Kluyveromyces lactis: one gene and its partner. The protein of the gene in region 2 interacts with the protein of the main gene of each other region in a pairwise test. Links are inferred from orthologs where the notes say so. Each region holds a gene or a part of one and is shown on either strand. Other genes may lie near its edges.

Region 1 (4,569 bases), on a different chromosome or scaffold from region 2:
TGAAGTTTTAAACCGGTAACTGATGCTTCGTAAACCGTGAAACATATTCTGAAATATGTAACAGTCAAACAGGCTCATAAGGGTCCCCGCAAGTCATTCCACTGGTGCTATAGCTTTTACGCAGTGTCATCTATATCACGTGACCTTACTGATATACGTCTTCTTATTACCAATCATAAGAGAGACGGATTTTGACCAAGTTAACCACTGAGAGTAATCAGAAATCTATCCCCCAATATGTCGGCTTATAAGTTGGTGGTTATGCGGCCCCTCCATGTATGTAGTTTTATACCTCTTACTTCCATCAGCTGTGCAGTGGGTAGTCTCTCACCAACGGGTTTACCAGTGAAAATCGTATTGCAGCGGTGAATTTTTCAAGCTTCGAAACCTTGAAGACTTTTAAAGCTCAACAAAAATGTTTAAATGTTTTCAGAAAAGATTTAAAGGTACATTGAAGAACTTCTTGGTACTCGATCTGAGTTATTAGTTGGCCTCTCGTTTTCCCATTCATTCATTGTTATCCTTCTTTTTTTAGTTTGGTTTACGTTAATATTAACTCAGTAAATTATACTTCGGCAACAGTTTATAATCCCTGAATCATGTCCCAACCAGTACAGAGAGCTGCTAGTCAATCTTTGATTTCCAAATACATTAACAAGGAAACTTTAAAGTATGTCTTCACCACACATTTCTGGGGTCCAGTTTCAAACTTCGGTATCCCAATTGCTGCCATCTACGATTTGAAGAAGGATCCGGAGATGATTTCTGGACCTATGACGCTGGCTCTAGTGATGTACTCTGGTGTGTTTATGAGATATTCCCTAGCTGTTACCCCAAGGAACTTCTTGTTATTCGGTTGTCACGTTGTGAATGAAACAGCCCAACTTGTGCAAGGTTACAGATATTTAAACCATCATTATCTAGGTGGCAAGAAAGCTGACGCTACTGACGCCAATGTCGCCAAGACAGCCTAGATGCAAGAGAAAATGTAACCTGCCGACAAAACAACATTCTTTCTCCCATGGCTTAGATTACACTACTGTGTAGGTCTGTTATCTAAGATTTAATGCTAAGTTTATTTACGTACTGTATATTATATGTCTATATGTTCAATTACAGTTTATGAATTCATTTCGAAATGAAAAATAAAGTACTTCTTTCGTTCTTTATTATCAAGAGTCGAACAAACCTTTAGGTCTGTCAGCTTGTGTGGGACCCATGCCATCATCTTCTTCCTGTAGATTGAGATCTTCTTGGATTGCTTGTCTTTTCAAATTATTTAGATAAGCAGCCTTGTTCATTTCTCTTTGATGAGATTCATCTGTACCGACATTGTTCGATTCAATTGTTCCTCCCCATTCGACAGTTGTTCTCATTCTCTTTACTGGCTCGCTAATTGACGGCTCGGTTGTTGTGTTCGATGGTGTTGACTGGGAGCCAGTGTTTGAATTGGGAGTAGTGTTACTATTTTGTTTCCCCCACCTTTTAAACCTGAATTGCCTTCCTTCTTCGTCTTCGTCATCATCATCTGCTCCATCCTCATCCGTTATAAATAGTGAGCGTTTTGTATGTGGATACAGCATCTGCTTACTTTCCGGCCTTTGAAGCTTATCTGGTTTCACTACGGTATCCTTCTTGATTGGTGAAACTATCTTTTCTGGTGACAGGTTAAATTGGGTGACAGAATCCTCTGGTTCTTCGACCCTACCCTCGGTATCAGTTACCTGCACTAATTCCAATACAACCCCATCTTTTGTTATTTCAAAGAGAATGGGGTCACCAGGTTGGCAAAACCAGATTCTTATCATGTCATTTGTTTTCCAACAATTAAGTCCATTTAAGAATACTTTGAAATCTCGTAATTTGAACGTAATGCTCTTCTTAATACTTTGTGATCTGCTTGAAGGTCTCGAACCGTCGTTTTTTTCTGTTGAAAATATGCAGTAATGTTCTAGATCATTTGCGCTACATGTATTCGTTACTGTAACTGCTTGTTTGAGGTACCCTTGACTTTTCATGTTGTACACGGCTTTTGTAAATCCTATTATGGCTAGAGTATGTCTCGTCAATTCCAATTTTATTTCCTCGATCACATTAGACATAATAGAGTCAATGAAGTTTCTTAGTATTGATTGATCAAAACTTAAGAAGTTGATTTCGTCGTTAACCGTCAACGGTGTATTTTTCACTGTGCTCACAATATTGTGTTCATTGGCGATACCTCTATTAAACATATCATGTTCTAATTCTGTTTGTAAAGATTTGAAATAATCCACTAACCGAGGATCTAATGATCTGCCCTTACTTTTGTTGTTGTATACTGAAAGGAATTTTTGTTTATATTTCAGACTTAATATGATCTGAACACTTTCCAATGGATCAAAATTAACTTGATATTCTTTAGTTAGCAAAGATGCTGTCTTCATTTTGATTATGAGTTTGTTAGCTATAGTTTCAGAACAATTATCACAATTGTCGATAGTTAACATGTATTCTTTAATTGTATCCTCTTGTTTAAGTGATAATAGGGAAAGATACTTTGCATTCGCTTTGAAACTATAAATTGTGTGAAGAATGTCATTACAATCGGTGATCTGCTGCACTCCAGATTCACCAAATACAATCTTCTTCGGCTCGAAGTGATACTCTGTAAAGAACGACTTAGGAAATCGTACCTTGGCCATGGTCGTGTCTGTTGCATTCATGGATGATATCAATACACCATTTTCGGTGATTGTTATGAAGACATCAGGGTTTATTTGAGAAAGAGTTGCCAAGCATTTACCCCATATGGTCTGTTCATTCGTGCTGTTTATGGAAGCACGAAATGACATTGCAATGGCCTGTTGTCACAACTTCCAGTCAGAATCCCTTTATCTGGCGGTGATAAAAAACTCTTCACTAGATCTAAAGTTCGTGTTTTTTCTTGCAATTACGTGATTTATCTTTTTACAGATTAAATATTTGAACCTATGTCTATAAAGAAATAGTGCGAATGGATTAGTGATTATATTAATCTGTTATTATGATTCGTTTGGAGCTAGAGAAATTGCTGGAGTTGAAGCTTTTTCAGCGGGCTCTTTATATTTTTTCTTAGTCTTTTCCTTCTTACTGCCATCTTTGGTTTTCTTCTTCTTTTTCTTTTTAATAACTATGACTTCTTCTTTGTCATCTTGGATGGCTGTTAAATTGTCACTAATGTGTTGTTCTGCAAGTTTATTTTTTAGCTTTTCCAACTCCTCTTGATCAACAGTGTATTCACCGTCGTAATCAATGTTATCCTTTCGACTAAAATCAAAAGATTTGAATTTATTCGATGTGGAAAGAGTTATCGCATCTGAATGCCCAGAAGTATTTGATTTCTTCTTCCCCTCCTTTGTGATAGTGGATGGTGGAGCCACTACAATATCTGACAAAATTTGTACAGATGGTGACTTATTAGATTTCTTCTTTTTCGTCGAAATTTTGATGACGGGTTCGATTGTTTTTGTTTCACCCTCATCATCGTTATCACTCAATTCTATCAATTTCGTTTCTGCACGGTCAATTTTATCATCATTCAAATAAAACGGATTATCCAACCTCTCTTGTCTTCTGCGCTCTTCTAAAGCAGCAAGTTCTTCTTCTGTCATTGAAATGTCTTTCTCTGACGAGATATCCTGAGTTACAGATCCGTCAGAACTTCCAGCGCTTGCAGCAGATTTAACGCTCTCCTTGTCGGAATAATATGCAGCTTCATCTTCATATAGTTCTTCATTTTTCATTAATTCTTCGAGTTCAACAGAAGATAAAAATGGAGTGTCTAAATCGAGTGTTAACGCCTTAACCAACTGCTGTTGTTGTCCGTGTGACATTGGGCCAAGTTCATACTCATTGAAAAGACTAGGTAAAACGTCGGTAATTAATAGAGGTAACCCTTCCGTTTCATCTTGCAAAGCATCTTGACAGAGTTTTAACATTTCATAGAACTCTACGCTTCGTTCTTGTATATCAAAATTCGTTGATCTGTATTTTTGTTCCATGAATGCGATTAGTGTAGAAAGAAGATCTGATATTTCAGATTTGGTTCTACCCTCTGTGTTAGCATAGGTTGAGAATAATTTCACTAATGCAGGAATCATTGTCTGTATCACGGTGTCTGGAAGTTTATTGGCTTTGTTTAGGAGTATGCCAACGAGAGTGTCACAGTTATCAATTAACTCGGAATATTCCCCAAAGCACCATATTCCTTCCTTTAGTAGGTTAGGAAGCTTGGCGATAATATCATCGTTTGTAGTCAATTTGATTAATTGTTCTAAAGCCGCATCCCTCATGCTTGGAACTTTGACCATAATGTTTCTAAAGTTATCACCTAACAAAGTTGATACCTCTAAATTATTCAAATCTTGTGAAACTATACAGAGATCCGTCAATATTTTCAAGTACCAGTCGAAGTCACCATTGATATTCTCGTAATCATTTATACAACAGACATCTAAGACAGTCTTGGCAACTTTCACTTTATAGTTTAAAGGAATGTCTATTTGAACACCTTGATCATTGACATGCACTGTATCCACATCCACAAAT
Region 2 (4,772 bases):
TAGTACCACCGTCGACCTTAATGATTGTTTAATTTTAGCCCATTTGGATAATTCAGTTCCAGATTTTAATCTTTTGTAACTTATAATACCATTGCTGAATACAAACGATCCAACACCTAGATCCATCAATGAAATGCCCCAGGTTTCTACCTTGGCATATTTCCTAGGAAAGATAGGGAAATCTACAGCCAATATGGCAATGGAAGTTAAGATCAGCATTGTACTCCTATACACTGTGAGGGTTGCTGACTGGTTGCCATTGTCCATTACAGTTTCTTTAATCGTTTCGCGTTTACTTCCCTTAGATATACATCCAAATAATAGCACCGCACTTAAACCTAATATACCTGTAAGAAATGGGTTTTCCCCAAATACAGTAACACTACAGAGGAGACCCATCCAATTCAATAAGAAATCTAACCAGAAGGAGTCCCGGTAGCTGGGATTGTTCGAAACGACGTAGATCCAAGCGGCGTTAGAAAAAATACCGGCTAATGTGACATCTCGTAAATCTGCAATTGAACTTCCGGAGTGTCCGGTAACGAAAGCTTCCTTCCGGTGTTTCAATTCATCAATTACACCAGAAGCATCCATGGTCTGATATCCCCGAGCCTGTATACGTTTCTTGTACTTACTTCCTTTATTGAACCTTCATTGATCTAGAGCTTAATAAACAGGTAGAATGACACTTGTCAATATTTTCACTTTTAAAGGAAGCATGCACAGAAGAGTAAATCTGGAATATAGGTTCAGACACGTAAAAATGACACACATTTAGGAGTTAGAGGCACTTCTAAGCAGAATAAGAATGTTAATGATCTTGTTACAGATAATATCCGAATGGATATGTATACATATATACATACATATATATGGCGTGACGTAATAATACATGAGATTTATGAAACATGAGAAATGATGTCTTTAGCTTGGCTTCTGGTAGAAATCTTCCTTCTTTTCAAATTCTGCTGCACAGATGTCGACGTTGATGCTGATCCGTACGTGATCTGAGTATGCGAAAGATGGTCACTATCATGACCTACAGTTTGGATAAAGCTTGATTCCTCATTCTCTGTATCTACATTATTTGAAAGAAGTTTCCCCCAACGGTTCCCTCTATTTGGAACATGAGGTAGTTCTGCTGATGCAGAAGAGGCAGTTGACAGAGGTGCCGCAATATCAACAGGAGCGGGTTTCTCTAGCAAAGGATCCTCGTTTCCTCTTTCCTTTGGAATTATTTGTAGTGCAAAGTCAGATTTAGAACCCTTGGGACAAGAAATACACCAATTAACGTCATTAAAGTAGATGTTCATGGAAGTCTTATTAGGTTTCATTGCTCTTTGGAAGAGTTCAATGACAAAACTTGGAGTTAGGATGGGAATATGATGAGCTTGCTTAACGAATTCAATTTTCCGTTTCATTGAATTTCTAAACATTTGAGCTTGATTTACAGAGATCTTCATATCCAAATCTGTCCTGAACATTGACGCGTACTTATTTTGCCTTAAAGTATGTTCCTGTGGTATTGAAGTCAATTGGGAGATGTTAACGAGTAAGAAATCCGTCTTCTTCGTCAATTTCTCATGATGGTCAAAACCAATCAACTTCAAAAAGTCTATAATTTTATTGATGTGTAGTAATTCCACGCCATGGAACCCTGTGATATGGAAGGAAAGTTTAGGGCCATGTAACACCGATTTAGGTGGAATGATATTGAAATCGTTGTAGAAAGGTTTTGACCAAAAATCCGGAGGTAGGAGTTGTTCGTAATACAAACATCGTTCGATGAAGAATTCTGTCAACCACGATGATTCATTTGGGATTCTCGGCAGTAGATTTGCCGGAAATCCACTTGGACAGATATAATAAATGGTCTTATCCTTCAGCTGTGCCGGTGACGGTGATGTATCCTCGAAGAGGGAAGACGTTCCTTTATTACCGCGAATGACATTAGATAAGATAGTAACCTGTCTTTTTTCGAACTTGAATAGCACGAAGTGACAGTCCAGGAAGGTCGGTGTATCCTTTGTCTCACCAAGGCATTCTTGATGCGTTGGGGTGGCTTCCTTAATATCAGTGGACTTTGACGCTGAAGCATCACCATCTCTTGCCAATAGTTTCCCCCATATCTGATTCGCTTGAGGCTTAAATTTATCTATAGCAATCTTCAACGGATTCACCGAATCATCTTGTACACCCATGGGATTTGGTTCAGTTACAGATTTTTTCTTATCTGGAACGTCACGAATGTACGAACCAGAACCAATGTCAGAGTATTCAAGTTCATGACAATTTTTCAACAGGTAGAAAGATTGAAAGTCTAGAGTCCCTGATCTGTCCATACAATCAATGATCCATTTTGGATGCACTACGGGAACGTTCTCTTCTAAAGCAGCCTGGACACGGTTCCCCGATAAATCATCGGTAATAAACAACGAAATGCATGCATTGGATGACGAAGAGTTCCTAATGAAATGCGTGGTATCTACCGATTTCACTTTACCCAATTTACACAACTGAACCAACGACTCAAGAGAATAATGGTTATTAGGTCGTATTCTGCCAATGAACAAGTTAAATTTTTCAAACGACCCGATAGAGTACTTCGATTTTAAGTACTGGGACATATCGAATTTAGCCAACTGCAACAGATCTTCTCCTGCGAGCCACGCATCGTACAACTGATCAACGGATCCCGGACTAACAAACACGATATCAGTTCTATTCTTGACAGCAAAGTTATACTTTGCGGTGAATAACTCTCCAACAACCAATACGTTGACTAGTCTTGTCAAATCCTTGGTATAAGTCCCACCGAGTTTTGTCACTTTATGTGAGATGGTATCAGAAACCGACAACGGGAGAGACGTAGGACAGAACACCAGTCCTTGAAATGGTTTGCCGGACATGTTTGCTCTACTTCAGGGAGAATTGAGGAAGAAGAAGAAGAAGAAGAAGAAGCTATCTACACCTTTGTTCCAGCTTTTTAGACACATCATCACCATTCATATGTGAAGGAAGGAAGGATGGATTGGATATCTGTGTAAATACGCGTTTATGTGTGGAAAATAATAAACAGAGAAGAGTTGTAAAATGACATTTGTTTACAGGTCACGTGGACGAAAAACACAAGCTACCCAGGGTTACCCTGAGAAAACGAAAACCAAAACCAAAAATTAAACACTAACCACGTGACTACAGCGAATCTCCCCCTTCCGGCGCCCCCCCCGTCGAGTCATCATCCTTGTCAGCAACCGTCCAGCTGACTCATATATCTGTCACATGTGAAATTGCAAGAAGCAGGCAAACATCGCCACCCATACACCATTCGGACTTGTGACTTCTCCCCGTTAGCCTTTCATCCGGACAAATCCTTTCAGGTCCTTACTCTCCCTACGATAAACCGATATAACTGCACAAATTTTTTTGCTGACTACACGGAAAACCGCGCCTAGAACCGCTTTTTTTGTCCCCAAAACTTCCTTTCCCCAGATCCGGCTGAAAGGGACAATTGCAAAACTGGAATTACACACTACTAACGCATATTAATTAGCCCTCTTATATAGTCTATAGCATACCGAATACTGAATAATATGTCCAACGTCACTTGTGGAAATGTCACAAATGTCAGTTTCTGGGATCCATCAATTAAGGGAAATTCTTCAAACGTCCCAGCTATCTCGGTTATCTCATTGGTTTATTCTCTTGGCTTGTTAAAAGGTAGTTTCTTCTTGCCTTAGTTTCTTGAATTAGATTTCTCGAGGGTTTTTATAGCCAAATATTATTATTATTATTCATGATTCTGAATCAGATATATAAGACAAACGGACCTGGGGAAACGTTCTGCCATATAACCATGAACCGGAAGGTTTATGGTAGGTATCAGATGTTTTTTTTTCTGTTTGGAACGTAAGCTTGCTATAAGCTTCCTGTAGTAGCGCCAAGTATATGTATATATCACTATGCCAAGTGTTTCGCAGGATGATGTAAAGGGCGTGCTTGCTGGTAAGATGTCTACTGGTAATAGCAGTGATGACAGTAGCAGTCAGTCAGGTAAGAAGCGTAAATATGGGAAAGTCGACAAACACAATGAGAAGAAATTGTTGATGCCTACGGCATCAACAAAAGTGAAACGGTTTTCACAGGCATGTGATAGATGTAGGCTTAAGAAGATTAAATGTGACGGTATCAAGCCTAGTTGTTCCAATTGTAAGAAGATAGGGTACCATTGTTCGACTAGTGATAAGCTTACAAGACGCGGGTTCCCTAGGGGTTACACGGAGATGTTGGAGAACGAGGTGATTAAGTTGCAGCGGCTTTGTGGGATGGTGGACGAGAACGGTGAGACCGTGATTGATGGTGCAGTAGCTGCCGTGGCAGCTACTGCACAGACGGGTGTTATTCCTGCTGGCCAGGAATTCCTTAACTCTGTGGGGGAAATGGGAACAAAGTCTTCTGTTTCGGTTCCTCCAGCGGCATCGGCAGCGCCAGTACCGGCCCAGGCCCCTGCGTCCACGTTCCTACCCTTTATCAATGATACTTTCCATAAATTCCCAAACTATATCCATGACCAAGTGTATCTAGGTAATTTCACCTGGAATTCGATCGTCAACCATAATAAATCTCAGTTGAAGTCTTTCCAGTATACAAGGTCTATCGTACAGGACCCGGTTCTATCGTACCTTAACCGACATTTCCCACTTTCACCGAGCGGTGTACCGATTAATATCCCCTTATCTGCTGAGGATGTAATACGATTAATTGATAAGTAC

What was found.
Region 1: the proteins of DPB11 (region 2) and DDC1 interact in a two-hybrid assay, tested with the Saccharomyces cerevisiae proteins (5 studies listed by BioGRID). The link is inferred for Kluyveromyces lactis from reciprocal best matches to the Saccharomyces cerevisiae genes DPB11 and DDC1.

What each region holds. Positions count from the first base shown.
Region 1 is NC_006041.1:1,722,927-1,727,495, forward strand, and holds DDC1 (Ddc1p), read right to left. Parts: upstream 2,835-4,569; coding exon 1,173-2,834; downstream 1-1,172. Other genes in the region: pyruvate transporter MPC1, read left to right, coding at 600-974; APL5 (Apl5p), read right to left, coding at 3,024-4,569. UniProt on the Saccharomyces cerevisiae protein: Component of the checkpoint clamp complex involved in the surveillance mechanism that allows the DNA repair pathways to act to restore the integrity of the DNA prior to DNA synthesis or separation of the replicated chromosomes.
Region 2 is NC_006042.1:1,324,963-1,329,734, forward strand, and holds DPB11 (protein kinase activating protein DPB11), read right to left. Parts: upstream 2,910-4,772; coding exon 900-2,909; downstream 1-899. Other genes in the region: GWT1 (glucosaminyl-phosphotidylinositol O-acyltransferase), read right to left, coding at 1-594; SIP4 (Sip4p), read left to right, coding at 3,963-4,772. UniProt on the Saccharomyces cerevisiae protein: Has a role in the initiation of DNA replication. Required at S-phase checkpoint. Required for the association of PSF1 with origins. Also required for the proper activation of RAD53 in response to DNA damage and replication blocks.